4 linked regions of the Drosophila melanogaster genome follow. The protein of the gene in region 1 interacts with the protein of each later gene in a pairwise test. Each region holds a gene or a part of one and is shown on either strand. Other genes may lie near its edges. The genes, in order: Plp, Cep97, tacc and ana1.

What was found.
Region 2: the proteins of Plp (region 1) and Cep97 interact in a two-hybrid assay, tested with the Drosophila melanogaster proteins (one study listed by BioGRID).
Region 3: the proteins of Plp (region 1) and tacc interact in a two-hybrid assay, tested with the Drosophila melanogaster proteins (one study listed by BioGRID).
Region 4: the proteins of Plp (region 1) and ana1 interact in a two-hybrid assay, tested with the Drosophila melanogaster proteins (one study listed by BioGRID).

What each region holds. Positions count from the first base shown.
Region 1 is NT_037436.4:15,085,630-15,092,802, forward strand, and holds the start of Plp (Pericentrin-like protein), read right to left. Parts: upstream 4,565-7,173; 5' UTR 4,190-4,564; coding exon 4,163-4,189; intron 2,925-4,162; exon of another isoform or gene 2,697-2,924; coding exon of another isoform or gene 2,682-2,696; intron 1-2,681. Other genes in the region: sstn (stepping stone), read right to left, coding at 5,725-7,173.
Region 2 is NT_033779.5:3,865,454-3,873,468, forward strand, and holds Cep97 (centrosomal protein 97kDa), read left to right. Parts: upstream 1-2,243; 5' UTR 2,244-2,528; coding exon 2,529-2,535; intron 2,536-2,926; coding exon 2,927-3,087; intron 3,088-3,150; coding exon 3,151-3,608; intron 3,609-3,664; coding exon 3,665-4,023; intron 4,024-4,089; coding exon 4,090-4,350; intron 4,351-4,419; coding exon 4,420-4,596; intron 4,597-4,636; exon of another isoform or gene 4,637-4,671; coding exon 4,672-5,101; intron 5,102-5,168; coding exon 5,169-5,736; 3' UTR 5,737-5,972; downstream 5,973-8,015. Other genes in the region: TTLL4B (tubulin tyrosine ligase-like 4B), read left to right, coding at 45-231, 294-464, 525-1,533, 1,616-1,771; CG31957 (uncharacterized protein), read right to left, coding at 6,100-6,416, 6,720-6,882; capu (cappuccino), read right to left, coding at 7,377-7,494, 7,566-7,869, 7,932-8,015.
Region 3 is NT_033777.3:4,741,967-4,748,759, forward strand, and holds the start of tacc (transforming acidic coiled-coil protein), read right to left. Parts: upstream 4,449-6,793; 5' UTR 4,209-4,448; coding exon 3,831-4,208; intron 2,700-3,830; coding exon 2,498-2,699; intron 2,217-2,497; coding exon 1-2,216.
Region 4 is NT_033777.3:24,528,681-24,538,800, reverse strand, and holds ana1 (anastral spindle 1), read right to left. Parts: upstream 8,226-10,120; 5' UTR 8,016-8,225; coding exon 7,887-8,015; intron 7,810-7,886; coding exon 6,200-7,809; intron 6,123-6,199; coding exon 5,999-6,122; intron 5,943-5,998; coding exon 2,616-5,942; 3' UTR 2,406-2,615; downstream 1-2,405. Other genes in the region: Cftr (CF transmembrane conductance regulator), read left to right, coding at 1-752, 818-1,514, 1,579-1,882; CG13623 (uncharacterized protein), read left to right, coding at 8,500-8,543, 8,605-8,980; CG6607 (uncharacterized protein), read right to left, coding at 9,149-9,238, 9,298-9,819, 9,873-10,052, 10,117-10,120.

The sequences.
Region 1 (7,173 bases):
AATTCTAGTGTCTTTGATATTACTTTTGCAATAAACAGTTATCATATTTAATTATTTAGTATATTTATTAAATCATTTGACCTAATATGATGTAACATTAACATTAAAAGTGTTTCAAAAAAATTATTTCGCTTTTAAAAAATTGTCAGATGAGAGACAAATTAGAATTAAACATAAATATAAATGTGTAAACGGTAGATAATTCGAGCGGCGATTTTAACAAACAAATTTAAACAGCTTTAAAATTATAATAAGAAGGGCGCGAATTTTTAAAAATTATTTTATTTCATCATATTGCTACGAAATTGGCAAAAAACTACCCTAATATGTACAATGTAAATTCATTTCTTTGATAAGAATTGATTTCGGCCCGAAAATCGTCTTCTAGCACAACACGCACACATATACGCGTTCTCGTCTCTTGTTTTTACTCACACAAGCAAGCAAATTCTATTTTTAGATTTCTTATGTTCTCAGCGTGAGCGAGCGGAAAGAGAGCAATTTTGGCCGTCACCAAAAAAGTGGCTGCATAGTGCCAAACCAATGTATGGCCGTTACGCATCTTGTTATTCTAGTGTCTTTGGTTAGACATTCGGCTGCTGATATTTTACCAGCCGCAGAATATTAGAACATTCCGATTTGCTTGAACAACAAATGAAAACAAGAGCAAGTTTTCATTTTTCGTTGGCCCACTTGTTGTGTCACCAGGCCGTGCCACTTGAATTATAAGGCAGCACGCGTCGTCTGTCGCCATAAATTTATTTTCTAGATTTTGATTCGATTTAATGATGTCACCCAGTTGTCAACGTCTGAAACGCATTGTGAGGATTCTTTTCGAGGTTCGCAATCGTGGCGGCCCACTAAACTTGGTCGAAAGGTATTAAAAAGCGATTTTATTGCGTAAACAAATGCGATTGGAAATGTGGGCAATGATAGGCCAGCACATCCAATTTCAAATTGACCTGCATCTCAAGTGTGGTTCTGTGGATTGGTGGCTATCTTTTGGAGAGGGCAAGCAAGACGCTACTGCTGCCCACATCCATTCCTTGATGGATTGCAGCTGTGTCGGTTGTCGGTTTCCCATTTAAATTATAATTAGAAGCATTCGAGGCATCTTTATGTTTGGTAATAAAGTTCCCTTCGCGGAGGAGTTGCATATGTTTGGATTATTTATTTTTGGACTTGCCCACATTAATTAAGAAAGACGTCTCTGTCCACTCGAGTGATCTATATGTCTGAAGGTGTTTGAAACGTGTGCCACACATGCATCCGTTCCCCAATCGAGTGAGGAAATATTTAAGCATTTTCCAATTACATTTTTCACAGATGGAAATCTAATTAGATCGCATGCATATATAGCGATGTGCCAAGGCGATGCATTCAACGTTTGAATAATAAGCCTTTTCCAACTTATATCGTAGATCATACAGTAAATGTCGGCTTACATATATGCAAACTTTTTAAATTTTATTTAAAATATATTTATTGCAATATTTGCTTTAAAAAAAAAAGAGTTATTTCCCATTTATATTAAGTTTAAATTGTAATTTACATACAATTCAAGTCCGTACTGTATTTTGAACGACTGAAAAATATATTTTCCATATTACACATACGCCATGTGGGTCAGGCCGTAACGCTTGACAAAGTTTTCACAATATTAGCGGAAAATGCTTGTGAAAAAGTTATCCAATTCCCGGCCACATGGTGGTTTGAACGTCCTTGAACTTGTCAGGACAAAGACAACAACAACACATTCAGGAAGTACCAGCACAGCGATAAGGATATCGGGATAACAAGTTTGCACCTATAACCATGACAACGGATTTTCTTTGAGTGTGCGTGAAAAACGAAAACGAAAGTCTTTTACATTCCTTGCAAACATTTCAATTTGTTGCTATAGTTTGGACCTCTTTTGTGGGCCGTTGTTTGGGTGTGACACACATTTCAGTTGGATCGTCTGAGGTTTTTGCACTTCGGCGACTAATAACAACAATGCCACTCCCCTTTGGAACGGGAAAAGGGGCGAAGGACCTAGCCCAACGTCTCTGTTAATGGCGCTGACGCCTTTCCTTTGATTTTCCACAAGATATTGTCGATAAACCCTCAATAATGGCACGCATATTGGCGAAAATGATTAAATTAATAGCTTTGCCTGGCGCAGAATTGACAGTGAAATATGTTGGACAAAAATAAATTCGGATTGGAGAAAGGATTTTCTTTTGCGTTGCTATGAAGAAAGGTTATTTCATTTAAAGGGTTTAGTTTAATATAAATTCTTAAACGCTTGCATTTAACATTTTCATATTTTATATAAAAATTTACATATGAACACACAATTTATATGATTGTGAAGTAGATGATGAATTGCTTTATATCCTATACCCGCATTTTATTTGATTTACAAACCAAATCTTTTACAGCATTATTCTTTCAAATAGTAATTCTAATAAATAATATTCAAGAACAATTAAGAATGAGATCGTATCGTAACTAAATTTATAGAAAATATGGTAAATACTGTATAATTTTCTCTAAGTACACTGCAATGCAAAAAAAATCCACTAATTTGGTTCATTATCATGCGGTTTCGAATGATATTAACACACTTTGGCTGGCGAGTGATGCAAATGTCACTGGGCGATGCTAAAGATCACATTGCGGACAATAACTGAACTCACATGCAATTTCCCCATTTCGCTGCCCGCCACTCATTCGATTCAATTCAGCGATGAAGAAGTTATCTCAATTAAATGCAATTTACAATCACTTAAAAAGTCCATATATCGACAATGGCTATTGAGGGTTACATTGTGCAAACTTCTACGTATATGCAAATGTTTCGTAGATTTTTTTAAACAATTTTATGGGATCACAGGCACTGACACTGCACTCTTATCTTTATAGAGCTATAAATGTGCGGAAAACCGAAAAACGACGACGCGACCGCCTGCAGTGCAGGTTCTTTTATAAATAAAACGCCCGAAGAGACATTCAATTGAAATCAGTCACTCAATCCGAGGAAAATCAAAAGAAAAGCGTTGGAAAAGAGCAGCCACGGGAGAGGCCGAGCGATTGAGAGCGAGTGCCGCGGAAATTTGCAACGCGGTTCCAAGCGGTTCCGTGCACCGAATGTTCGCTCCCATTTTTTATTTATAAACAAAATGTGTGTGTGGAACATAAATTTGTTTGGAAGATGGTGATAAATGCAAAAGAGTAGTTTTAAAAGCATTTAGAACTATTGTTTTACGATTCGCGATTGCGATTGATACTGAAGTAGCTATATATATAAGTACTTAGAATTAGTATTATAATCAGAATTAATGTCCCTCAAAAACTGTTATATTTCATTTTTTATAGTTAGTAATTTATAATTATTCTATAATCATCATAAAACATTTTAAGTTAAGTTTAAAAACTTGAAGTTCAAATTTTATTTTAAAATTTGTATACAATAACAATTTAATATAAGAAATTCGAGCCATTAATCATTTCGATGAATATTAAAAATTTTTGATCATTTTCGTATACATTATCCAAAAATTTTCATCGTATTGCGGTACATGTATTAGATTTATTCAGCAACAAGTTGCAGAAACATTCTTTCCTCAACAAAATCGATAAGCGAATCGGTTATTGTAGCGAGACATTTTTTCAAAAATATGAATATTGATGTTTATAATAAACAGGGAAACAGTAGCCAAGATTCACTAATAAATGTATTAGTTATTTAACAAAGCAATTAAAACCGCATAATGTGGACAATTCAATTATAATTTTCACTTAAAAAGTTGCTCTATAATAATAAAAAGTATGCTATTCAATGATATAAAATATAATACTTATTTAAAAAATAAAATATTATTTAAAATTCCTAATCCGTTGGGTATTTTTCACTGTAGATTGTTTACAGATTTCGGAAGGGCCTTGTGGTCTTCTAATCGAAAGTTCAAAGGCGCATTCAATTTCGATTTCATTTGTAAACACACTTGAAAAACAACATGTTCTGTTTGTGGATCGTAATGAATTGAAAACACACATATCAAGGCGCATTCAACCCACATTTTGTGGATTTTATGCACAATCCGAGAGCACAGATGATGGATGTTCGGCTCCCAAATGGGTTAATACTTTAATGGATACCCCTGATTGTTTGGCTTACCCAATCGTATATAGTGTACAGATTCATGGTGACTGCACTTGAACCAAATAATTTATGGCCTATTCCCTGTTTTTTGGCCGCCTTTGTTGACACTTGCGCCTGTCAGTTGGCTATATCTATAGGCATTCTAGATGTGGCCCAAATGCGATCCATTTTCTTGTTGATGTTTTTACGTAGTGGTTTTGATGACACTATATTTTAGAATTTTTTCGGGTTGACTTGCTTACAAACACAGACGAATGCAACGAACCGAATAATTTTGTAGGTTAGGTTGGAGACTTTACGTAAAATTTGATATTTTTTTAATTTAAAGTTTAACACGAAGACAACACAATGGGGGAAACTAGCTACTTAAAGCGTGAACTCTTAATTTATCATTATGTGATTTTCAATGCTCCTCGAGGGAGAAAGAACCGACAAATTTGAAACTTAAAAACAAAAAAAAACCAATAGTGCAACCGATCTGAAACAGTTGCACGTAATAGCGAGCGCGATGCAACTGAGAACCAAATCCATTGCGAAGAGTCTTTATATTTTTGGGGTATCGGGGGATATCCACGCTCTTTTTCTCCCCATCCAGATACTGTAATGCTCAGTGAAGCACAACAAGAGATTGTTTAAAAATAATCAATCGTAAACAAAATTTGTTGCAGTGGCATTGAGTTGGGGAGAGTCCAAAAGAGAGAATTCAATGTACTACTACCAGATCGCGAGAGAAACAAAGAGAAATCCGAGAGATAAAGGGGAGGAAAGTAATTAAGTTTTATCGGTTGTTCTATAAATAAGTTTTAACCAGAGATTAAGGAACTACAAGATATATTCGATAAGGAATGATTTAAGGAAGTGAGAACACATTTATGGGTATAAATGAGACATTTATTTATAGGCTAGGGAAATATAAAGCTTTCTTTTCATTTCAATTATTCAAAAAATCTGAAATGCTACAAGAGCATTAATAATGTTTTGAGAAAAATATTGGAAGTTCAACGAAATATTTGAATGCTTAAATATCAATAAAAACGCACTCGCATATATTTTAATATAAAATATTTATTTTTATCTATTTGTTATTGCTTGTCGGTAGTTAGTCTTAAGAAAACTCGGTGAATATATCAGTATCCAATCGGTATATTCATATAAAAATATCATTCGATTAGGGTAAATATCCTTTATACACTTATTAGTTAGCTAGTCAGTTATTTGTTTATAAATGCTGTTAACTATATAAAATATTTCCATATTTTCTAGGCATCCTGTTGTAAGGCGATTTCTGTCCCCCTCGGGGATAATATTGTCCTGTGTTTTTTGTACTTTAAAAATTCAATACAAAATTTGAATGTCGTTCGATAAATTGCTTTCAATACGTCAGTTTTCAATTTGGCAGATCTTTTGAGCATTGTTATTTTCTTGATCCTAAATAATTTGGCTAACGAACTTAAAATTCGAAAGGAGTCCAATAGTTTGAGCTGCTTTTGCTTTGTAGTTTCTCAGTGCTACAAAATTAGTTTAGTTAATCACATTAAAAGGTGAAAGTGCATGAGAATTCCGTACAACCTTATAGGTCAATTAGGATTTCCGCCCTCCTTTTGCTTAAACTTGGTGGAGTATTTGTAGAAATCGGACATCTCGAAGGGTTTCGTCACTTCCTTGTACGGCTGGAAAGTGGCCTGCTGAACTACGGTCATGTTTTTGGGCGACTCGATGCGAATTTCCGGCGATAAACTGGCTGTGGCCACTGTTACTGGCGGTGACACAAGCGCTGTTTGGACAGCATTCCCATGAGCAAGTCCGCTTGAACTGCCATTACCACTGTGACTTAGGTTCTGGTTCTGAGTATGAGCCTGATTTGCGGGTGGCGGTCTGGGCGGCGGCGTTGGCTGCTGCATTTGACTTGGCTTGGGTGGTAAGTTTCGCAGTGCTGGTATGTCCAGAGGTTCCAGCGGATACGATACCGATATCCCCAAAGTTTGCTCCATTGCATTGAGATACGAAGTCGATTGACTTAGCAGGGCTTTCGAACTGGTATTCACCGCATAGCTGGCACTGGGATAATTCGGAGTCGGTCGCTGGTTGGACATGGAATAGTGACGACCCGCTACCGACATGGACTGCGAGGAGAGCTTAGCGCGGGGTTTACTTGAAACCATGGCAGCTGCGCCGGGATTACTACTCCCATTACTACTCCCAGCTGGACTGTGGGGCTGTGAATCCATCTGCCTGATAACAGCTGGCCCATCTAGCGAAGATTCCAGCCACTGCTTGGGCTTGGGCTTCTTCTCAATGGTCGTGGACGAGGATGACAGTGAGATCTCATCGTGCGGCGGATAGCGGCTGGGTGGCATAGGCACCGCCAGCATATCGCTGGAGTGCGATTTCACCTCTATTATGCCCAATTGTGGAGGAGTTAAGGGCGCTATGTGTGACTGGGAACGCCATCGATATTGCTGCTGATGCTGGGCAGCTTCCATATCGACGGAAACATAGCTGGGCGCAAGGGATATAGCATCTAGTTGTCGCTGGTGATGTAAAGGATTACGCTGTTGCTGCTGCTCGTAGCTGATATTACTGGGCGATGCCATTGGGGACACATATTTCTTGATGTTCTGACTTGATTTAATAAAGCCGCCCTCATTGTAACTTTGATGCGTGGGCGATAGGTAATATTTATCGCACTGCACTATAATTGGTTGCTGCTGGGGCGCCACTTGTGGCGGTTGCCTTAAAGTTGCTACATTGGATGAATTCGCCGAGTACATGGATATGACATCCGGCTGTGATCTCTGGTAGTTCATGTTCATTGCTAAATGAGCTTGTTGCTGATGCTGCTGGCGCATATATTGCATTTGACTCGGCGTGGGTGTTGGTCGCTTCTTCAGGGCACTCTTCACCAGAGGCGGTTGTTGTTGCGCCTGCTGCTGGGCCACGCCTATTACCAGCATATCGCCCGCCCCCGCCGATGAGGAGGGTTGGTAATTGTCATATTCTGAACTGCGATTCGATAGCGTTTCCGA
Region 2 (8,015 bases), on another chromosome or scaffold:
GTGGTTTAAACCCCATCTAATTGTTTCAAAAAACTTTGTTGCAGACACCACCGACTGGATGGCCGTGTGGGAGAAGCACATGAAGAGCCCCGGGTTTAGGACCATTCGATCGCACCAGAAGTACAACCATATACCCGGATCGTTCCGCATCGGTAGAAAAGACACCATGTGGCGCAGCATCTACAACAATATGAAGAAGTTCGGCAAGAAGGAGTTTGGCTTTATGCAAAAGTGAGCACTGCGAAAATATAACTTTGAATTTCTATTATTTTACTCGATATCTTCTTTAACAGATCCTACATTATGCCAGACGATCTGGAGAGCCTGCGTCAGGTGTGGCCCAAAAATGCCTCGAAGCTGACCAAGTGGATTGTTAAGCCGCCGGCGAGTGCCCGAGGCACGGGCATACGCATTGTGAACAAGTGGAGCCAATTTCCCAAAGATCGTCCTCTGGTGGTTCAGAAGTGGGTGCCCATAACTTCGTCTTCTTTAAAAATCTTCCCTAACCCTAAACCCCACTTCAGATACATTGAACGTCCGCTGTTGATCAACGACAATAAGTTCGATATGCGTCTGTATGTGGTACTGACCTCGATCAACCCACTCCGCATCTATATGTACAAGGATGGACTGGCGCGTTTCGCGTCCGTTAAGTACAGCTCGGAGCTGAGCAATCTGGACGAGCGCTGCATGCACCTGACCAACTACAGCATCAACAAGTTCTCGCAGAACTATGCGAAGAACGAGGATTTCAATGCCTGCCAGGGCCACAAGTGGACGCTTCAATCGCTGTGGTCCTGCCTGGAGAATCGTGGCGTGAACACTAAGCGCCTGTGGGCCACGCTACGGAATCTGGTCATCAAGGGCATCGTGAGCGGGGAATCGGGATTGAATCGCATGTACCGCCAGAATGTGAACTTTCGCTACAATTGCTTCGAGTTGTTTGGCTTCGATGTGCTCCTGGATGAGAATCTAGTGCCCTGGCTGTTGGAGATAAATATATCGCCGTCGTTGCATTCGGAATTGCCACTGGATCTGCACGTGAAGGGTCCGCTCATTCAGGCCGTGCTGAATACGGCTCTATATCAGGTGCCGCCTAAGCTGAACGAACGTCAGCAGGCGGACATCCTGGAGGAGCTTAATCTGACCGGTCCGTTGTGCCATGACAAACGCATCTTCACCACCTGCCTGACTGCAGAGGAGGTCCGCAAACATAACCAGTACACCAATCGGAGCATCGAATTCCGGGAGGAGTACGTTGATACCATACTGGACAATCTACTGCCGGACGATGTCCGTTGCCTGATCGTTGCCGAGGACGAGCTGGCCAGGTGTCAGCCGCTGGAACGGATCTTCCCCACCGCCGGCACACATGTATATCTGCGCTATGTCGAGAATGCCCGGTACTATAATCGCCTGCTGGACGCCTGGGAGACGAAGTACGCCAAGAATAGGGAAATGGGCATTGCCTTGCTGTCGCGCTATTGCCGGGACAAATACCATTTACAGGTGTCGGACGCCGCCATGGAAAAGGTGAACGATCAATTCAATTCAATTGAATTTCCCCTTCCGTACCGCTTCTGTAGTCCATTTTCAAGTCATATTTCTTATCTAGGAACCAAATGTTGCACTTACCGAGATCGATATGCTGCACGTGCGAAAGGATGAGGTCTTGGACGGTGCCACCACGCTGGCCATACTTAAGCCCGTTGTCCAGGAGGGCTGCGAGGTGGCGCCGATTCCGGATGCCTGCATCGAGATCAAGTCCTGAAATTGAACCGAACTATCAGCACTATCACCATTGCTTCTTCCATTGCCATTGCCATTTCCATTCCCGTTTCCGTTACCAGCTCACAGCTGTGCCAGCATCCCGTGCAGATGTGCTCCGGAATTGTATCCGCTCAGTAAATTCACTTAACTTCGATCGTCTTTGGTGGCAATAGCCTGTTTTGGCATCCAGCTAGAAATTGGATCACACGTCATTTCAGTAAATATAAAACACTACGGGGTGTTTAAAAAAATTATGAAAATAAATATTTTATTTAAATTTAGTTCTTATTATTTATTCTTTATGCGAACACTGTAAACTGTAAAGAGTATCGGTTTTCTTATTGGGTAATTGCTCAGCACAGTACTAAGCTTTTTGAACTACGCGGGCTTTGGCAGTTGCGATAAGTCTAAGGAAGTGCAATCGATAACTAGCGGCGCAGTCTTGAGTTTTCAAGCTGCCGATAACGACATCACGCCTCCAATTATCGATAGACGTAGTATAATAACAATAAACAAAAATTCACTGTATTGCACGGCGCTAAAATAAAAATTAAGTTTGCAAATCATGGCGTGGACTGAATTATAAACCCGGCTTGAAACCAAAGGACTGCAAGTGGAACAGCTGAGCTGCACACTTGGGAAATTGCCAATCTGAAACTGCGTGGAAAAAAGAGTGGCCCATTGATTTTTCGCTAAGTATCTGCTGATTAAAAAAAAATTGACCGCAGCGTTGGAATTTCGGCCTGCCAATCAGAAAAATGAGTGGTAAGAAGCCAGTTCTATGCAAGAATGGGCACTATATATTAGTAACTAATAATATGATTTGCGGGGATTGGGATTTGCGTGCTGACTGTATGGGAATTTGCAGTCTGCTTTTGGGGAGTTGGGGTTAATGTTCAGCGGGCCGGGGGCTTCGAGGTCCTGGCTAAAAAGGACGCACCTGCGCCCTGACCTCCTCTCCAACTTCTTGAAAAGTGCGGACCCCTCGATGAAGTCATCAATTTTGTAACATGCACACGTATACAGTGAAGCTTGCATTATGTATTTCCTTTTTGGGCTTTTTGTTTTACATAATTCTGATATTGTGTTTAATGCATAATAAGTATGAAGTGGTAAACCTTAGTTTCTACCCACTGTGCTTTGTTAACCCAAACAGGCGACGAAAGTGGCGAGGAGAAGCACGTCCTGAACTTGTCCAAGCAAAAGCTGAAGAAGGTGCCCAAGCAGGACGATGCGCACAGCATACGGCAGCTCATCCTGGACGAGAACGAGCTGCAGAAGATCGACAACATAGACTCGTATCTCAAAATTGAAACGGTGACTTGCAACGTTCTGCGAAAAGAAACAAGTTCCTAATTAACAGAAATTCAAATATTTCAGCTCTCCTTGGCCAGAAATCAATTGCTGCGCATGTATGGCGTCTGCCGGCTGCATTGCCTGCGTGAACTGAATCTGTCCTTCAATGGCATACTCTCTATCGAGGGCCTGAAGGAATGCATCCATCTGCGCGTTCTGAATCTGGAGGGGAATAACATCAAGACCATCGAGCATCTGAACACGAATGTCAATCTGGAGTGCCTGAATCTGGCGGATAATAGCATTGGCAGCATTTCGGATATGTCCTATTTGCGCAATCTCAAGGAGCTATATTTGCACGGAAATCGCTTGACGCATCTGAGGCAGTGCGACAAGTGTTTGCCCACCTCACTGGAAACCCTAACGTTGGCCAAGAATAGCATCAACGATCTCAACGAGATCTGTACGCTGTCGCATCTGAGCAACTTGCTGAGCATTTCCATTGCGGATAATCCCTGTGTGACCATGATCAACAGTTTGGAGTGAGTTAGCTTAATGGATCATATGGATTGCGCTTAAAATGTAACATCTCTTGCAGTGGCTTTGATTACCGACCTTTTGTTTTAAACTGGTGCATGAGCCTCAAGTACATCGATGGCTTTGTGGTCGATCCTATTGAGAGTCTTAAGGCCGAATGGCTGTATAGCCAGGGACGTGGTCGCCAGTTCCGTGTGGGCGAGCAGCAGGGCTTGGCAAAATACCTAAGTTCTGTGTGCCCGCTGGTGGGCAAGGCGCTGGAAAATGAAAACGATAGGAAACTCCGGCTGATCCTCAGCAAGGCGCAACACCATCAGCGGCAGCTGCAGGAAGAGATCATGGATAACGCAAATAGTTCTGCCAGCACTTCGCCCTCATCCCATCGCAAGAAGCCCACGAGTCGCATTCAGTCGCCCAGATGTAAGTTATTAACTCCCTATCTATGCTTTTTCATATAACTTATATTTTTCTGTCTTCGATTTAAAGTCTCCCGCTTGAGTGGCCGCCAGGGATCACCGGAGTCCATGGTGAATAGCTATCACGGGAACAGCAGCAACAATAGCATTGTTAGCGACAATGGATCTACGAATCATTCGCTGCAAATGAGCATTTCGCTCATTGAGAACATTAAAAACGATGGCGAAGGCTTTAGTTTGGCCGGCAGCGGAATGTCCAGCAGCGTGACCACCAAGACATACAATTCCACGGAGTCCACGCCACGGAATATAACACCCAATCCCTACAATGGTATGACAATTAAAATATATTCAATGCAAGAGTGGAAAATGATGTTAATAGTAAACAACAATTCCACAGATCAAACGTTCATCAGTCAAACCCCATCTGGTGGTCCATTGGCGGCTGCCTCGAAAATGGTCCCAGTTCCGGAGACTCTGATGAGCCCGGATGTCTGTCCCGCCGCTGTGGCCCAAAGAGTTACGGTTACGGCACTGAACCCTCAGCTGCACAAGACCAAGATCAACAAAAATAAAGGTAGCCAGTAGTTGTTACTCTAGACTTTTAAAACGACACAGATTTCTAAAACATACATACACATTTACACTACAGACAACAAACTGAACTTGCCAAGAGTGCGAAGTCCACAACTGAAGAGGAACCAAAGCCCTACGAGCAGTCCACGGAGGATGGCCAATAAGTGCAGCGCGGACAACATGCAGGCACCGGAGAAACTCCAGCAATCGGCTGTTTTGGCCGATAGCGGTGGCTTCAGCACCGACGACGACGGCGAGCAAATCAACATAGAGAAACTGAGAGCAATCCGGAAGATGGCCGCTCAGAAGCAACAGCAGATGCATCAGGAGCAGCTGAAGCAGCAGGTGGACAACAACCTGAACTGCCAGGATCGGCTGATCGAGCACGTGACAGAGTCCTCGGCCGTTACCATCCAAAAGATGTGGCGAGGCTATCACACACGCAAGAAGACCAACAAGGACATAGCCGAGCGATTGCAGCGACGACGCACACAGGAGTATATCGAGTAGGTGGTCTCGTTTTAGGCAACATATATCGCAACTTTCTAATGCTCTATCTGTCGCATTCCTCAGACAACTCGGCAAGGATATGCTACTTACGAAGGCCCAGCTCGAGAACGAGCGAAAGATTCAGCAGCTGCAGATGCAGGCCATCAATGCGCTGTGGAAAAAGGTGTCCACCATGGAGGTGGATCCCAAGGGAATACCTGCTGCTGCGGAACAGGGCGAGGACTCCAATGGCGGAGGGTCTGGCCACCTGAGTCTCGATCAAAATTCAGCCGCCGTGGTAAATGATTTGGCGAAAAGATGCACCATGCTCACCGATCAGGTTCAAATGCTGCAAAGCTCGATTGGAACCATCGTCAACTGCCTCACAATGGTGTGCAATCTGCCGCAGGACGCTATTAAGAAGCAGGCCGAGATCATTGATTGCAGCTCCACTCAGACGGACCTCATTGCCGTACACACGCCGCAAATAGAGGACCTCACCAATTTTCCATTCACCAAAACAAGGCCCTCAACCTTGGCCCTAGAATCCAAGCACGAAGCTGCTCTGGCTTGTCCCAAAATCGATGAATTGAATGATGTCGACCTGAAGGAGACCCAAGAAGACTCGGAAAATCTTGATAAAGATCCATGAACAAATCCCAGTTAATAAATGAGGAGTATAAACGCTTTAAGGGTCGATCTCAGCGCTTATTAATTCCTTTCTTAGGCTTTTGTGTAGCTTTTGCAACAATATTAGATCGGTTACGAGAACTTAGAAGTAGCACCAGCATTCACAAACACATTACTTTGTTACATTCCTGAGATGCAGCGATGGTGGAAGACTTAACAATAGTATGAACAAATCGTAAATACAAATTTTTGTAAAGCACAAAAGGTGTTCTTGATTGCGGGCAGATTTTGTTCAAAAACAACACCAGCATTAACCAACAGTTTTTTTTTAATTAAGTTTGACAAATTTGTAAATAACCTAACTATGTGTGTGTTTGTACATCGTTCAGTCCTCTTCGCTGGATGTTTCCTCATCTTCCTCTTCGTCGGAGGAATCGCGATTTACAGGCCGATTTGTATTGGGCAGGAGATCATCCTCGAAATCGGAGTCGTCTTTGTTTTGGCTGGTGGCTTCCTCCTGTACAGGTTTCTTTGTGAATTTATCCGGCCAAATTGCAGCTTTTGTGTATTCCTTTATATGTTCGGGTGTGAGTATTTTGCAAATCTCGGCTTTGACTTTATCGCCCTCCTCAATCGGTTCGACCAGCAGAAAGTCGCCACGTTTCACCCACATGCTCTTGCGGAATTTGTTGGGCATCGAAACTAAAAGGGTCAGAAGGATACAAATTCATTATTAAGTATCAACATGAAATGAGTTGGGATGGGCTATCTCAACATGTCTTTATCGAGACGTTCAGACGGACGGACGAAGATATACGGACGAACGGAAGGACATGGCCAGATCGATTGGGATATTGATCCTGTTCAAGAATATATATGCTTGGTATGGTTCCATCGCTTCCTTCTGCCTGTGACATACTTTTCAAAAAATCTAGTATACCCGGCAATAGCTAGTTCAAAATTAACTAACCATGGAGTTTTCCTCGACTTTATTCATCCACTCACCAAGGAACGTTTCGTCCACGGTCTCCACCTCGTGGAGATTGTTGCCCCGACTGCTGATGACCCGCGCAATCTGCTGAGTTTCTGTGGGCAGCGCGTAGTCGTCCTCCATCATCTCCTTCATGAGATGCTTGCGACGACTGATACTCGGGTGTGATCGGTGCATTGTGCAGCTTTCAATATGATTTCTGTGCAAATTGCCAATTAAATTAAAATTGCTCAACTTTTGACTTGTTTTGTGTACAAACAGCTGTTGGGCTAGTGATGTGAGGCAGCACAAGTCGTGTCACTATCGATAGCACTCTATAAAAATGCTTAGCGATAGGTCTCAAGCCATGCCACACACAGCACTAGCAAGCAGTGTTGTACAATCCCTAGGCAAAGTGATAAATTCTATTTTTGAATAAAGTGCCAAAAGTTTGTGAATTATAACCGTCGCGAAACGATTCGAACACTAAAAGAACACTCGTCCGAGTAAACGCGCAATGTTAATAGCAAGAGCACATTTTATTTGTAGAGCCACAGCGCCTGCATTTAAGGAGTTTATACAAATTGGTGACTTAACAATTAGTGGAGACTACATCCATGTAACGAGAAGTTTGCTGAGCAATGGTGTAATAAAAAGCAACTATAAATACAAAATATATTCAATTGAGGCAACTAGTTCTTGCTACGCCTCATCAGCATGCGCTCCTTCAGCGAAATCCGTCCGGACTTCTCCACCTTGGTGGATACGTTGCGACGCGATTCGATTTGGGCCTGCTTCGATTTCTTCATTCTGAAAATGTGTAAAAAAAAACTGGGTAATCCCGCTGGGTAAGTGGTAAGTTGACTGCTGCTATTGCTTACAATTCATTCAGGAGACTGGTGATCTCCTTCTTCCAAATGTCCTTGAAATCATTGGTGAAATTCGTCCAGTACTCGAAGAACTGGTCGGGCGTGCACTGGGCCAACGTTAGGGTGCAGGCTTTGGGTGAGAAGTGGTAGAAGCGCATGGTCTCCAAAAAGAGATCGCGACACTCGTCAAGGGATTGATGCAGCTTGGCCATCGATTTGTCCGCCCCCTCCACAAACTCCTCCATTTTGGACTTGAAGGGCTCCATGATCTCGGGACGCGAGGCGGCCAAAACTTTGGCCGTCGTTCTCTTGCAACCTGAAGAGCAATATCATGGATTAGCTAAGTGATGGCAATGGAAATGATCGCTCTAAACTGACCCAAGAACTTCTTGTTGAGATCGAAGATCTGCTGCTGCACCTCCTCGAAGTCCATTTGTGCGGCTCTCTCCACATCGGCTGGCT
Region 3 (6,793 bases), on another chromosome or scaffold:
ATCAGCATTGACCCTAAACTTTGCTTGATTGTTGGAAGCGCTGCTGGTTTTAAACATGTCATCCGAAACTGGGGAAATTGCACCAAAGTGCTCCAAGAAAACATCGTCCTTCTCATCGCTGGCACTTAGCGTGGCTTGCTCTTTAGCAGAGAGAGTTTGCTCCTCCAACACAACGGTGCCATTTCCCAATGGGGACACTGGAGAAATCGCCTCAGGAGGTCTATTTAAACGTTGGTGAGTAGGAATTGGTGGTGAATTTGAAATTGGTGCTTGGCGTTCCTTCCAAGTTTGCTGATGCGACTTCATCACGGCTACTTCATCTGCCCTCATGGAGATATCCACATCCATAACTTCATCAGCCCCGGTGTCTTCGGTAGCCTCCACCGCTGGAGAAGCATTCTGCTGCATGCAGAAGGTGCGTCGAGGGTTCTCATTTTCCATACAGAAAGTCCGACGCGATTTGGCCTCCTCCTCTTCCTTCGTGGGCTGAACCACCGAGAAAGTGCGCCGCTGCTTATCATCAACCGATCCCAGACTTACGGCAAGGGTGGAAGAAGGCTCAATATTCTCTGTACCCTTCTGTGATTTGTCCTCCGTAATGCTTCCGCTGTCAAAGGTCATATTTGACGAAGTGGGAGAAATCTCGCTCATTGGCAAGGTTTCGTTGAGGTGCTGCTTCTCAGGACTCGGTTGTGTTAACTCAAAGACTATTGGTGATTTCGCTATGACTCCGAAATCGCTTTGCTTGCGATGTGATGAACGTTCTACCACAGCCTCTTCCAAATAGGGCATGTCCTTTTGCTCGAGCTGAGCACGCGGTGAGCGTGGAAAGTGGGACTGTTTTTCAGCAGGTTCTTTGATGGGGAAACTGGGCGAAGTCGGTTCTGGAAGGCTTGCAGTGGTTGTATTCCCTTTCAGATCCAAGTAAAGTGGCGTTGGTAAGACTGCCACAATGGGTACCAGGCCGTGTGATAGCTGCTTACATTCCACCTTCCCCGCCGTCGAGACACCATCAGGCAAAGGCAGCTCCCTCAAAGCCAGGAACTCTAGTTCCTCCGCTGTTTTTGGGCGATGTGTAGGTATGGGCGGGGAAAGGGAAAGTTCGATAATTTTTGCTTGAAGTGCGGGTGTCGGCGGTGAGAGCGAAGCTGATGGGACAGATTCTACAGGCAGCTCTATTTCAGTCATCTTTAATGCACTTTCTTTTCCTGCAGTTTTTTGATCCATTTTATTATCTTGACAATCCGTATCATTTTGAACGCAGAGTTTTAAGAAAAATTTGCTTGAAACGGGAGAATGAGCATTAATTTGCTCCTGCCGACATGAGTTAAGCACTGTGGCATCATCCACTTTCATGGATTCATCCACATCCATTTGATCAAGCTCCTCCACAGTCCTGTCTTCAGTTGCCTCCATAGCTGGGGATGCATTTTGCTCAAGGCTGATGGCAGTGCATGGTCTCTCCATTGATTCTACTGCCACCGAAAATTGCTTCTCTTGATTAGGGTATTCTAGAGATTTTGCTGATTTTGTGGACAGTTCTGAAGAAGCCTCTTTGAGATTTAAGGCCTTTTCAGGCTCCTTAGGATTTTGTGCGTCCTTCACCTGAGCACTACTGACCGGGTGGTGCTTCTCTTTCTGAAATATATCTTTTGTATTTGTTTGCATTTCCTCTTGATGCTTAGCTAAGTCTTTCGTAGAGTCCAAGGCAGATAAGGTGAGCTTCGGCTCAAAGGATTGTGTACCAGACTCCTCAGACAGTACTGATTCTACCAATGATTCTGATTCCTTTGCATCACTATTGGGTTTAGAGTGTTTGGCTAACTGGTCTAGTTCAACCCTATTTTGCTCCTGATTTGGATGATAGTGCACAAAATTATTCTCTGGTTTTGACTGGGTTACGCTGAGAATATGCGTTTGCATAAGATGACGGTCTTCCGCATTCAAGACGTCCTTTAACATTTCCATGGTTTCGTTTAGGTCATCCACATCCATGGCTTCATAGCTGACGTTGTTGTGCTGGCTAACTGCCAAAGGATCGTTGAATTCAGCTCCCAGTGTAGAAACTGAGGTCATGGACAGCTGCTGCTCCAAAACATCATTAAGGGCACTTGAATATGCCTCTAACTCCGATCGATCTCCGGTGTAGCGCTCGCTATGAAGCGATAAACACTCGACAAAAACATCCGAATCCGAATGGTTGGATTTCAGTTGAGCTAAGGGAGGAATGAATGCGATATATTAATCAATTCGTTTTAATAATAATTAAATACATATAAGAAATTTATTTATATAATTAATACAACGAGAAATTTATACATAAACTTGGAAATGATTTATTTTCCCCAGCTGGCCCTTTCCTTTGTATAAATGACGGTATTGAAATAGAAGAAATTACTTCGCTCTTCTGGCGGATTTCGTATGGAATTCTTTTGTACATCAATATAATTTTTCTACCTTAAGAGATTTCTGGGTTACACAAACAAGATTTACTCACTATCCATATCGGTACTTAAAGGAGCTAGTTCCGGTATTTGCGTCTCATCGAACTCGGGAAGACCTCCAAACTTTGGAACGAGGTCGTCTTCTGGCTTAAGTCCACCGGGTACCGCCGTCTGATGCCCCAGAGCTGCCGCCATTGCCTTCTGTTGATCCATGCTCGTTGGCTTGGGACTGGGCTTCACCGCCAACGGACTCAGCTGCCAAACAAGAGATGCAAAATTTAAGAATATAGTTATCAAGATGTACATCGCGGTCATGATCCGAATAGTTTTAAACCGTGAACAACCGATGTTGGGAATGGGGTTTTAAAGATGATCACGAGTAGCAGCTGGTTGGTCATTTAATTAAGAATTTTTGACACACAAAAAGGCAAGAGCCCCACCACAGTTGGCATAAATAAATCGCATTTGGGATGACTTTTCCCGTATTTTCCCATTGCCAAGAAATTATACAAAGGCATAGGACCCCCATTTTTAGTTATTATCATATACAAAAGAATACATTATTATGAAATTATGATCTTCATTTGAAAAACTTCAATCTCATCTAATGTAGCCCATATGATACAGATGCCTTCAATTCACGCTTAAAAAAGACATACATTTCAAATGTTTGTCGCAGTCGGTCAGTCAACAAAAGCAAATGTCATTAATTAAAAAGCCAGCCAAGACGTAAAAATCGGGTATATGGCATATGTTTGGGAGGGTGGCAACGAAACGGATTGAGGAGCAAAAGGTGGGGAGATGGACGTGGAACTGGGTCGACGTCAGCTTTTGTGCAGTGCGAAATAAACATGCCGCGGATTCAATGCGGCCGGCCGCCATGTTTAATGTCTATTTAGGTTTGGGAGCATCGTTCTACACGCGGAATTTAATTAGAGCGCATTGCAGTATAATGGGTGCTGCAAGGTTAAAGTCAGAAGAATAAGGCGAGTGGTGACCGGCTTATGAGCGAGACACTAAAAATTAGGAAAATTCTGGCATTAGACCAATTTCTCCGTTTCGATTTTATTGATAAGTATTTTAATTTTAATTTTTTGACAATGGGCTCAAATTTGAGTGGTAATGGGAAGCAGATTCCTGCGGAATATTAGCCCAAGCTAATGGCTAGATACAACCCTATTTAAAATAATATTTTCTGCAACGCAATAAGGTGACAAAACCAAGTGGAACCGCATAAATACTATATATGCAATCGGCAAAACACATTGGGACATTACAAAAAAATTCCAATGTGTAGATTTATGCAGTTTGCCTAATACTAGAACACCCCCCCCCCCCCCCCCAGGGATGCACATAAAAAGATAGTCCTAATTCTTTCAGACATACCTCGCCACTCATGGCTTGCAAGTGCTCCATTTCGTTAGCACTCACTTGGTTCAGATTGAAGTTTATTTCGCTTAGAAATTTCTGTATTTCTTCTCTACTATCAGTGCTGTCCTCGGGGGCTGGGAGTGGGTTCGAGATGGATTCCATAAATAGTTCACAGTGCTTTCCCTCCAGTCGTTGCAGCTCCTCAGAGGCGGACTCTAGTAACGAGTCCAGGTGCGCGGATACAAGTGTAACTCCTCCCTTATCCCTTGGTGTAGAACATTCATCAGCGGGACTAGCAGCTTCTAGGGCTTCCATTGTCGTTGGCTGATTGGTGCTGATGCCAGTGGTGGCGATGCTTTTGGGTCTTTTGATGATATTCGCGAGGAAATCCATGCCGCTCTACGCACGATTAACTCCTGAGACGCGATACGGTTCACTTGGCTCCAAAAAATAATGGATCTATAGAGTTCCTTAGTTTGGTCTTTAGTGTTTTTTTTTTTTTTTTTTTTTTGTGGTTTTTGTTGTGACACAGATTTGGGCTCGCCTACTCGGTAAAATCTTTACTGTGATTTTCCGCTTCCATTATATTGGGTAATACCTCCGGGTTTCTCACGGCCCGTTGTCGCGTGCGGTTCTCACTGCCTCCCGATCATGTCTGCCTTTAAAATCAATTTAAAAATATTTTCGTTTTCAATTTGCTTTGCTCTGCTCAGCGTCACACATGCACAAATACTTAGAGCACGGCGAGAGTGCGGGGGATCGACAGACCGAGTGAGAGAACGAATAGTTTGAATGGCATCCACATAACGATCCGGATGTTTTCGTATGTCTTCATGTTTGGATCGTTTTAGCCCACATGGCGTTCTCCCCTTATCAGCACGGTCCTCTCTTCCATTTATAATACTGCCATATGTTTTCACATGTGAGACGGCGGCTAGAGACACCTTTGTATATTACACATTATGGATTTCATACCAACTTAAAACATTTATTTAGCACATCCTTAGTCTTGAAATAGTTCCGATAAGTTATACTCTGAACTTTTAAGCACAAATATTCCTAATGAAAATTAAATCAAAACAACAGAGAACTCAGTCGTTTTTCTCGACTACCCATTACTCAGCTTTTGGAGCTACGAGAAATATACCCTTCAAAGATTTTATTAGCATATAAATAATATAAGTCTTAGTGGCCAGATAGACTTGGCTGGTGATTCTGAAGATGAAATCTTATCCTTTCTATGGTTGGAATAGTTACCCTTTTCTATTTCGAGAAAATATATTGGGTTTTATGAAGCTAGAGGGCAACACACACTTGATCCATTTAAACACACTTCTCTTAGATATATGAAATACATTTTGGAAACGGTCGAGGTCGTGGGCAACATTTATAAAATAATAATGTCAAAAGAGCGGGCTCAAGTTGACAACCTTTTTGACTGAACTGCAGTGAAAAACTGAAAAACTATACAGGCCTCAGACGAAATTCAGACTGAAAGGCAGCAGTGAAAGTGCAAGACACCGCAAATAAGTCGAAACACTTAAAGAAGGGGATAAATAAATGGGATACGAGAATACGGCGACCGCCGACTGCTTATATTGTCTTCGCAAATCAACTGGAGGAACTTGGTGCAAATTCAACGCTTTGATGACAGAATTATTTTGCACATTTTCCATAGGATTTTTGGAGAACAGTCTTATTTGCAAAATGCTTTCTCTTAAAGATATACCAGTAGAGGCAAGTAGAGTGCTCTAAAATAATAAATATGTTGATTTGGCTCATCACATTGTTTCAAGTGTAGAGGCCTGGTGGGTCCCAGATGACATGCAATCCCACAGCCATTGTTGCGCATCATGGCGCACTATCTGCAAGCTCCACATTGCCCAACGGCTGACTTTGCATGTTTGGCGAGAAAATGTAAGCAATGAAACGGAATCCCACACGATGGGCCTTGACGAGGGGGGAATAGTTAGATGTTGGCTCTAGCGTTATCCAAGCAGCGCGCGACAGGTGACAAGATATCACACGGTTCCCGGCTCAGGGTGAATTTAAAACCAATGTAGTTTGTTGAAGCATATAAGCCTTGAGTGGAATCCAAATAGTGGCCACAAATGAGTATACTGATTTCAGAAAACACAATAAATACAATAGAATAGAATACAAGTGGAATTTGAACCTTAAGCTGCAATTCGAATATCCAATAGAACTCAGGAAAATAAAAGAAAACAAATATTGAGGAAGAGCCAACTATAAACTGATCTAAAAATAGGCAAATGTGGAAAGGGGTGGAAACCATCTGTAGATCCTTTATAATGAGCATTTTTGTTGGCAAAAGGGAAGATGGAGTTAAATGACATTTAGTCAAACTTAAATCCTCAGATGGGCGTTTTTTGGACTGTAAACCGCATTAGGCACTGACATTTTGCAGCCGTTAGCCGCCAACTGATTTATTGGCATAATAGCGATACACACTAGCATTTTTAAATGGAAAGTGCACCATCTGGAGAGTGGAAATTTCAAGAGACAAATATATAGAAGGAAGAATAAGTAACTTTTGATTTTCCCTTGGCATACCCGATTCCCTCGTCCGTCGTCCGCCTTTATGGTAATTTTCCCGGACAAGGCCCTCGGTTTCCGTGTCTTGCCCGGCTTATTGCCCATTCTCCTATGGCTATGGCAGATCGGGGAAACTGGTCACCTGGGATGGACAATGTCCGGCGGACACCGATCAACTAGAGAACTCTCGTTCGCGACAGCTGCCTCAGAGCTAATAGGAACAGCGAATAATGGAAATTTATATGTACATATGTATTTACGATGAACAATTGCGAATAAAGAAAATAGCAGAACAGCCTGCGACGCAGCATACCCACACATATGTACAAAGTACATAACCGAACACACACATATGTACCTGTAGACGTGTGAGTTGAATTATGCCTCTGCCGAAAGTGGCTGCATTGGTACATCGCGGACGG
Region 4 (10,120 bases), on another chromosome or scaffold:
CTTCATGGTCTTTGTTATGGTGATGTCCCAGGTGGTGTGCAGTAGTTCCGATTTCTTTGCGAACATCTGGACACAGCAGGAGCATCAGAGGTCGCAGGGAGAGGCCACTTTCTCAACCTTCGAGTGCATGTACATATACGGTGCTCTGATCATCGCCGTGGTGATCATGACCACATTCCGTGGCTTCCTGTTCTTTAAGATTTGCATGCATGCCTCCAAGGTGCTGCACGATCGCATGTTTGCCTGCATCCTGCACGCCACCATGAGATTCTTTGACACCACTCCGTCTGGAAGGATTCTGAATCGCTTCTCCAAGGATATGGGCGCCATTGATGAGTTGCTGCCGCGGGCCATGATGGATTTTATACAGATCGCTCTGGTGATGTTTGGAATTCTGATTGTTATTGGTATACTGAATCCGGTTTTGGTGGCCGCCATGTTGGTGGTAGCCGTTGTGGATGTGCTCATCCTGAAGTTGTACCTGAGACCTTCGCAGGATCTCAAGCGATTGGAGGGCATATGCCGCAGTCCGGTGTTTTCCCATCTCAGTGCTTCCCTTACGGGTCTGGCCATCATTCGATCCCGCCAGTTGCAGGATGTGGTGGCCAAGGAGTTTGATTTGCTGCAGGATGTGCACAGTAGCGTGTGGCAGCTGACCATGGCAGTGAATACGACTTTAGGCTTGTGGCTGGACTGTGTCAGTTGCATCTTCCTTACCTCTGTCACCTTCAGCTTCATTATCTCCAGTGAAAGTGAGTTCTATTAGAAATAAGTTATTAAAAAGAACAAAACTAATAGGTATATTTTCTAATTTTAGCCACTTATAGCGGCAACGTAGGCTTGGCCATTGCCCAGGCCATGATCCTAACCGGAATGGTGCAATATGGAGTGCGACAAGTGGCCGAGTCCTTGCAGCAAATGACCAGCGTGGAGCGCGTCCTGCAATACACCGAACTGGAGCAGGAGCCGGCGCTGGGCGAAAAAACGCCACCGCAGCAGTGGCCCACACGCGGTCAGGTGGAGTTCCGCAATATGAGCTGTCGTTATGATCCAAATGGATCGCCGGTGCTTAGGAACCTGAATCTCACCATCGAGGCGGGCTGGAAGGTTGGCATTGTGGGACGTACAGGAGCTGGGAAATCGTCGCTAATTGGAGCTCTCTTCCGATTGGCTCACATCGAGGGAGAGATTTTTATCGATGGCATAGAGACGGGAACGATTTCATTGGAAATTCTGCGCACCCGCATCTCGATTATACCCCAGGATCCGGTACTGTTTTCCGCTACCATCCGCTACAATCTGGACCCCTTCGAGCGGTATACCGACGCTGAGCTGTGGAGCGCTTTGGAAGATGTGGAGCTGCGTAAAGCCATTCCCGGTCTGGACTACATGGTAACGGAGAGGGGCGGCAATTTCAGCGTGGGCCAACGTCAATTGCTCTGCCTGGCCAGGGCGATTCTGCGAAACAACAAGGTGCTGGTACTGGATGAGGCCACGGCCAATGTGGATCCACAGTGAGTCCTAGAACGAAAGTTACTATATCTCCAGAACTAACTTCTAACCCATCTATTCTCGCAGAACCGATGCCCTGATCCAGCGCACCATACGCATCAAGTTCAAGCAGTGCACAGTGCTCACCGTTGCCCATCGATTGCACACAGTCATGGATTCGGATCGGATTATAGTAATGGATGCTGGTGTCGCCGTGGAATTCGATGTGCCGTACTTGCTGTTGAAGAAGTCACAGGGACATCTCCGGCAAATGGTAGAGGCCACAGGCGGGGAATCGGAAGCACTGAAGAAGACGGCCAGTGACAGCCACAAAAGAATGCAAAGAGAACGGGACGAGCGAGATCGCGATCAGGATGAGAGCCAGGAGTGAGAAACGGTGGCCCAAAAAAATATCCATCGGAAATCGCATTTAACCAAATCTGGTGCTTATAATGGCTCAAGGTTACAACTCTTGGGCTCCCAATGGAAGAGGAATCTTGTCCAAAACAAAAACCGTACCAAAATGATTTTCTTGTGCACATACACATATTATGTTATCAATGTTTCATTTCCTTAGTTTAGTTAAGTTTGTTAACGAAAAGTCTAGAATGTGTACTGCCTTATACGTATTGTACTTAGATGTAATCTCCACCAGGGACTACGTTGTAATATTTGTCCACCAACCTATTGTAGACCGCCAGTGAATCGGATGTTTACTTACAACATGACAAAAGCTACTTACATTCTGGTACCGGACCAGAACTGAAACACCGAGGTCCTCAAAGGATCAGTGGGTTAATCTACTCACTAGTTAGACCATCAAATATATATATTGTTTATAAATTGTGTACATTACTGCAAGTCTATATTCATACAACCGAAATATTGTACTTGAAACTCTAGATAGAAATTTAATAAATAATCGTCGGGTTTATTAAAATATAAATAAGTTTCACACAAATTGGTAATAAAATTGTACATTTAACTTATTGAGTAAATTTTATACAATCTTTTTCGATAGTCATTTTTTGACACAAAATTGCAAAGTAAGTAAAATATAAATAATTGTCATAAAATGGATAATATAATCTAAAACCTAAACAAACGAATTAAAAGTTCGGCGATCATTTTCGGGGCGACTTTCGATGCGTTGTCCTGACACCTGATCCTATTTGACCTGAGGATTGGCGAGTTTGATTTGTACTAAGTTTGCTTTGTTGTTCAAAAGGAATGGGTGGAGTTCCATCTGGATAGTTAACCAGGGAGATGCGACTCTCCCCGGAGAACAGTTGAGAGCCGGTGTTACTCATGGACCCGGCCTTCTCTGGAATGGAGAGGAACGATCCCACTGGTGTGGATGTCTTTTGTCTGTCGTTTGTTGCTCCGGTGGCATGGCTTACACCCACTCCTGGCGTTTGCGTGTTGTTGCTGGGCGAGAGCGAATGTAGGACCGACTTCAGAAAGTGCCCCCTTAAGGACTCATCTGAACTCTCACTGGCAACGTCGTCGTGCACTCGATGTTTGAGGAGCTCTCTCGTAAGGAATTCCCTCAGATTAAGGGATCTTCCTATCTGGCTTGCATCCTGCACAGTGGAATCGTCCTTAGACCTATTGTTGTGCTCGTGGCCTCCACGAAGCCGAGACTTTCGTGGCCGCCGTTCTGGCGACGAGGCTGTGGTACTGCTGCACAACTCATCCACCTGCTGTTGCCTCTCATGCATTGTGGCATGCCAGCACGGACTTCTCTGATCCGCGTCGCTGGAAAAGTTGCTGCCGGAGAGGGGATCTATGCCACTCTCGTTGGGTTGATCGTTGGTCACTGGGGCGACGCTTTCCCGCCGCGTACTGCTAGCCACCTCCTGAGCCGTCAATGTGGTCTCAGTTGCGTTTCCTCGACGAAATGAGTTCTTTAGAATTTTCCGCTGGCGGAGTTCTTCCTCTACGTTAAATGAATCCGTGGAATCATTCTCTAAGCTAGCACTGTCTATTAGATCCCTCTGATCGGGTGGTTGCTTGGCCATAAGTTTTTCAAAGTATTCCCTGCGCTTGGGAAAGTCTTGGATACTATGAGTGATCACGCGCAGCTGTCGCATCAGTTCACCCGGTGACAGAGTGGCCTGATCTGCATCCTGACCTATCTCCACATGGATTCGGGTGCTAGTCATGTTATGAAGATAGGCATTAATGCTAGGAAACTCACGGTAGTCAGTTCCTTGATTGCGTTGCCTGATCGCGAGTATTAAGTCATTAAATTCGCCCTGCAGCCGTTGGCTCTGATCAGCATCCAACCGCGACAGATCTAAGTGCAGTTCCTTGGCATACTGATCGAAACTAGGGAATGGCTTGGGCACCGGTGTGGCGGCCACAATATGTGATTGTCCTGGCGTTTCCACTTCTGTAATGGTCGACAGCTCGTGCGCCAGATCCTCGGCGTTTAGTTGAGGACTATACCGACGAATCGTGGCCGGAGGTGCCCTTACTCGTCCGCGTGCTGTATTATTCTGCGTTGATGACCCAAGCGAGATGGGTTCCACATCGATACAAACCTGACCCTGTGCCGTAATTGGACGTGAGTCCGCAATGCCACTATCCCTGCTGGCCGCTGTCGGCTTGTGCTTCTGCAACGGCAAGGCTTCCGAGGTCGAAGGTGTTTGAGAATCGCTGCGATCGGAAATTGTCCGGCATCTGGTTTGCTGTTGTCCTGTTGGAAGCTCAAGATATTCAGTGGACTGCCGCTCGCCATCGCTGTTCGATGTGAGGGTGACCTCCACCAGTCGCTGCTTCTCCTCGCGCACTTTCGTGATCAGCTCTGTAAGTTCGGCGATCCGCTGGGTGCAGTTCTCCGTGAGCTGTGCATAGCGTTCCATGTTTCGGGCAGATGACTCCTCACTGGTGGATAGTGCTTTCGATTTTTCGGGGGCAAAGCGGTTTGTGCTTTTATCGGCGCCTGAACCTTGTTTTACAGTCTTTTGCTCCCTTTTTTGTTGCACTGCACCGTTTGTTTGCTGCTGCCGGTCCCCTTCTTGAGTTCTACGAATTTTGCCGCTTTCCTGTGGAGGTGCTGCATTTTTCCTATCTCCTTGTGGAGTCGGCCTTTCCCTTGGCATCTTTTCTCTTGTTTGCTCTTTCTCTTTGTTGGTTTGCTGACAATCTTCAGGATTCTTGGCCAAACGCTTGTTCCATATTTGATCGAATGCGCGCATACTTTTCTCTGCATCCAGCGATTGTTGCTCCCTTTGCAGCTGCTGCTGGCAACGTATTGATTCTTCCAAGTCATTGATTAAGCTGCGATTGTCGGCAATAAAGGTTTGCACCCGCTCCATGCGATGCTCGTTCATCTCCGTATTTTCATCCTGATCCCTTTCAGCTCTTCCCGCTTCAGGCTCGGGACAAGGGGTTACGTTTCTCAATGAGTTGATCACCGACGTTGATGGTGTGGTCACACACGAGGAACTCACACCCATCTCATCGATATTTTGGCGTGTCATTCCTAGCAGACGATTTATATATTGAACCACCATGGGATGTAATGGAGCAGAAGGGGGAGCGGCCGTGGTCATATTTTTATAGCTCACTGGCGGCAGACTGCGATAGGCAGTGGAGTTGGAATCAATGGATATCTGACGCTGATCCTGTAAGAATGGTCGCTTTCCGTGATCCTGTTCCGTCGGCTTTGGCTCATCGTCTCTTGGTGTGCTGTCAGTTGAGCCCAGGGGCACATCCTTTTCATTGTCGATAGCCGACGGCTTGGTTTTGGCTTTCGATTTTGTTCTCGGTACATATTGCTTAACAGTACCGTCACTCCTCACCTTAATAATGATCTCAACTGGCCCATCTTCTTTTGCGTTTGATTTTGGCTTATCACTCTCACTGGATTTTGCGTTTTTTGTCTCCTTGTAGAACTTTCTTAGACGCTGCTCGAGAATAGCCTCCTTCTGTTGCAAATCAGATTCTCGTTCGTTTAAAGTTCTCGTTCGCTCGGATAGAATATCAGCTCGCTCCTGACGTATATTATTCAATTCCTGTGCATTGTCACCCTTTGATGCACCTGACTCACCCGCCTTCAGTTCCTCCAACAGCTGGACTCGAATTTTCTCAATGCGCTCAAGCAAACTCTTTAGCCTCATCGATTTCAGTGAGTTTGACTGCTCGGCCTGCAGGTCCGACTTGAGTTGCTTGCTTTGATCATTAACGTAGTCGAGAAGAATGGAGCTGCAGCTCTCCGAGCTGCCAAGATTATCCCGGCCGATTTGAACAGGAGGTTCGCCCAAATTAACTGCCACAGAAGCTTTGGATTTGCTGCGCGATAAGTTTGGAGGAGTAGGTTTGGTGCGCACTTCCGGGCAGGTGATAATGGCTGGTCGAAGCAGCATTTCTTCCATTGCATCGTTCATCTTTTGCTCTCGCCTGGCAGCTGCATCCGCGTACCGATGGCTAGGTATAATGTTAGCCTGGTGGGAAAATGAGTTTGTATTATTTAAAGAGGAAAAATATTTGATTTCCTTACATCGGTTGGCAAGAGCTGCGGTTGCTGTTGCGTTAGAGCATCTAGCTTTTCCGTTAATTCAGCACAATCCCGACGCACTTGCTCGCGTTCAAGAGCCTTTTGACCACGATCGTCACTAATTTTCCTATTGAAATACGTTATTGATTTCAATTTGATTCATTAAGATAAGTTCTGTGTTCTGTTTCTTTTACTGGCTACTACCTCAGTTTGTCCAGTTCCTGTTCCCGCAGATCCCTCAGCTGGTTCTCGATGCGAGCATGATCCATAGCGGTCAATTGGGTGGCATCCTTCTCATTGCACTGCACCGACTGTGTTGGTGCTTCGTACGTTCTATGGTACTTATTGCTATGATCATAGAACTGAACACGCCCACATTGAGTCGTCCTTGGGTCCTGTCGCGAGGACATGGTAATTGTGGTGGTGGACACAGTGGATTGCGTAGCAGTGCTCGGTGGAGCAGTAATAGCGGGACCGAGTACAGCTGGCTGATTCGGCATCATTTGCTGCGGTGCATACATCGGATGAGGTTGTGGAAACTGGGCTTGCACGGGAAATGGCATTGAATATGGCATCGCATATGGTTGCATCGGAAGTTGAGCATACGGATGCATGTATGGTTGATTCTGCGGCATGGGATAACAATGGGTCATCGACGGATTTGGCACAGCTGGCATAGCCTGTTCTGGAATCGGTGGAAGGTTTCGAGGAGGTTCCACTGCTGGTTTCTGTATAGCTGTTACTTTGGGCAGCGTAGCTGGAGCTTTGGCCTTCTGACCTCTGTGTATTCCCGCATCTATCACCTTGGCAGGAGCTGGATTTAATTTTAAACCCGTTCTTTTGACTGATGGCTGGTTACGTGGTGCCGTCACAGTTTTCTTCGGCGATCCTTTAGCTGTTTTAGTGGGTGATTTTCTGGGTGCTGGAGCAGGAACGGGCTCCTCACGCTCTACACATTTTCTGGGCGATCTTGGCGGGGATTTGGTGGGACTAGGCGGGGCAGATACTGGTGGAGTAGGATCTGCTTCCCTTCGTTGACTTGGCCCAGCTCGTACGGTGGTCTCGGTTTTTCTTACCAAATCGCTGATCTGAGTGAATCTCGGCCGGCGTTGGGGTTCATCATCACTGGGTCGCACGACATGGCTGAATTTCCGGTTGGTTTGCATGAACCTATCATTTATATCCATACCCTCGGGATTCTTGTCGGTTTCAGAAATGGTTTCCTCGATTTCTACGTCTAGGATTACGGGGGTAGTTTTTTGGAGACGCCGGTTGCTGCTCGGACTCTCGATGATCAGGATGGATGAGTCGTCATCGGACGATGCGTCATCCTCCTTCTCATCCTCTGCATCGGTGCTGGCACATCCACAGCTGGTTTTCCTTTTGCGCTTGCCCTTGCAACAGGGTTTGTTACACCCGCTCTCCATTCGGTTTTCTTTGTCCTCCACTATGGGCGTTTGTGTTCCCGCCGAGGCACGTCCCTCCGCATTTAAATTCATTGTGTTTGTGGTCCGCAACTCAACGCTGGCTTTAGCCGATCTTTTCAAGGCCTGCTTGCGACACCTTCGGATTTTGTCGATTCTCTCTTGCCTCTGCTGCTCGATGCGTTCGTTCTCCTCCTTTGCGGCGCGATGGGCGGCGCCCACCTGGAAAATGGCCGAACGGTAGTCCTGGTGCTTTTTGACCAAAACATGCTCACGCCACGCATTTAGCTCCCTTTGCTTGACCTGCTCTAATTTGTGGATTTGACGCCTCTTTTCGGCAGCCACATCCTCGCGTATCTGGCGTGCCAGGTGGTTTGACTTCTCCCGCACCTGGTTATAAAATTAAGTGGTCACGCTTTGTGTTACAATTACTGCGCAATGGGCTCGGAACCCAAGGGACAAGTTACCTGCTTCAAACGGGTTATGCGACGCTCACTTTCGAGATCTTTGCGTACTTGCTCTGGATCGTCCAGTGGTCCTATGGTCCTCCTCAGGTTGGCCCCGAACTTTCCATTTACTGTTAGCTGCAGAGCCATCTGCTCTATCGATATATGTAATAAATTCGTATGTGGGGCAGCATTTACGCAGTAGAAATCGAAACAAGTTTGAGCGTAAAATCAAACAACCCAACGTCTTTAAAAATTCCTCCCAAGCGGCAGTGTGACCGTAGATGAATAATTGAATGTACTAGAATTTACATGCGTCTAAAATATACCAGCTGGTAAGTAGCACGCACTCAAGGCACAATACAAATTCGGAAATTAAATGATCGAAAAACTACGTGTTTTTTTTTAAATTATAAAATTTAATGAATGCAATTTGAAAGCTACATGACAATAAACTCAGTTTGAAAACGAAAACATCACAACAGCATGTACACAAGCCTAGATGGCCCAGTTGGGATGTATCGAACTATCGACACCTATCGTTATCGTGCGAAATCAGCTGAAATTGTTTGGATTACGAGATAGTAAATAGAAATATTGAAATTACATTTTTTGGCTGTGAAATCGTAAAATTATGGCGTTCCTACTGCGACAAGTGGCCAGGAGCGGATTGCAAAGGTGAAATAAGCTAGGAAAAATTGCGTGACAAATCCCACAATAAATGCTTGATCTTCCATAGAAATCTAATCCTAATGCGGCATGCAACCGCTTCCACATCCGCGAATCCCGAACTTAGTGTCCAGGTGAGCGAGAGCTGCTTGAAACGGCTCCGTGAGATCTGCGTGGATGGATCTTTCCTGCGTGTGACCGTCGAAGGAGGCGGATGCTCCGGCTTTCAGTACAAATTCGATTTGGATAAGCAGCTGAACGAGGATGACCGACAGTTTGGCGAGGCTGAGGCCAAGGTGGTGATCGATACAGTCTCGCTGGAGTACTGCAGCGGCGCCACCGTGGACTACCATAGCGAACTAATACGCGCCGGTTTCCGGATGGTGGCCAATCCGCTGGCGGAACAGGGCTGCTCCTGCGGCTCCTCCTTCTCAATCAAATTGTAAACTTTAAACTTTAGAGAATTATTTAATACACATAGAATGTTCAGTTATATACACGTCGAGGGTGGACAATAACAAAACAGGGTAGAGGGGGAGCGGGCGTTCCCAGTTAGTTATTTTACAACAATATACAGTAAAGCAGCTGGGCGGGATGCGCGCCGCTGTCCATGCTCATTTGCAGGCGGCCAGCTGGTCACTCAAGCTGATGACCTGCTCCGTCAGCACGCTGATTTGCTCCTCGTAGTTAATACGCGTCGTAGTCTAAGGAAATCCGAGATGTCACTTGGTTCTAAGAGCACAAAACTGCAGGCACAACTCACCAACTCCTCTTCGAGCATTTGCAGGGCTCCACCCAAACTGGCCAACTGATCGTCCTTGGCCTTAAGTTCGTGCGTTGCGTTCTCCAGGCAGTTTTGCAGGTGCTGAACCTCCAGCTCGTAGGATCGCAACTTGGATTCCGCTTGCACTTTCAGTCGCATCAGATCCTCGAACTTCTTGCTGAACACACTGTAGATGAGCTGCTCCTTGGTGGGCGGTTCGGGGGGATCCTGCAGCGAATCCCGCGCCCGCTGGCTGCCTTTCGCCTCCGACTCTGCCGGTCGAACGGTGACGCCCGCCGCCGCCGTGCTGCAGCTGCACGTGCTGAGATCCTTGCTGGGGTTCGAGACAAATGCTTGATGCAGCTTGGCCACTTCGAATTGAGCCCTCCAATGCGCCGCCTCCTTCTCGAGCAGCGCAATGCGATCCTCGGAGGTGAGTTGGTTGCTATTCGACTGCTGCTGGAGATTGTGTAGAGGAGTAGTATCGCTGCCGGTGGCGCTCAGTGCGTCCTCGCTGCCAAGCTGAAAGCACGCGAATCTTTGGGTAAATATTTAAAGAGAGATCTCAATATTACCATGCTGGCCGCATCAACCAGCTTTGTTTCCAGCTCGCTGTTCCTGTGCTGCAGCGTTTCCACCTCCTTCCTGAGTCGCTTCTCCAGTTCGTTCTGATCGCCGATGCGTTTCTCCAGCTTCTGTTCCAACGATGCTATGCGCTCCGTGTGCAGCAGCAGATCCCTTTGCTTGTCGTCAATCTGTGCATAGTCATTCGAGCCATAACTCATACCCAATTTTAAGTTTCATCCCCCCTGGCCTTACCAAT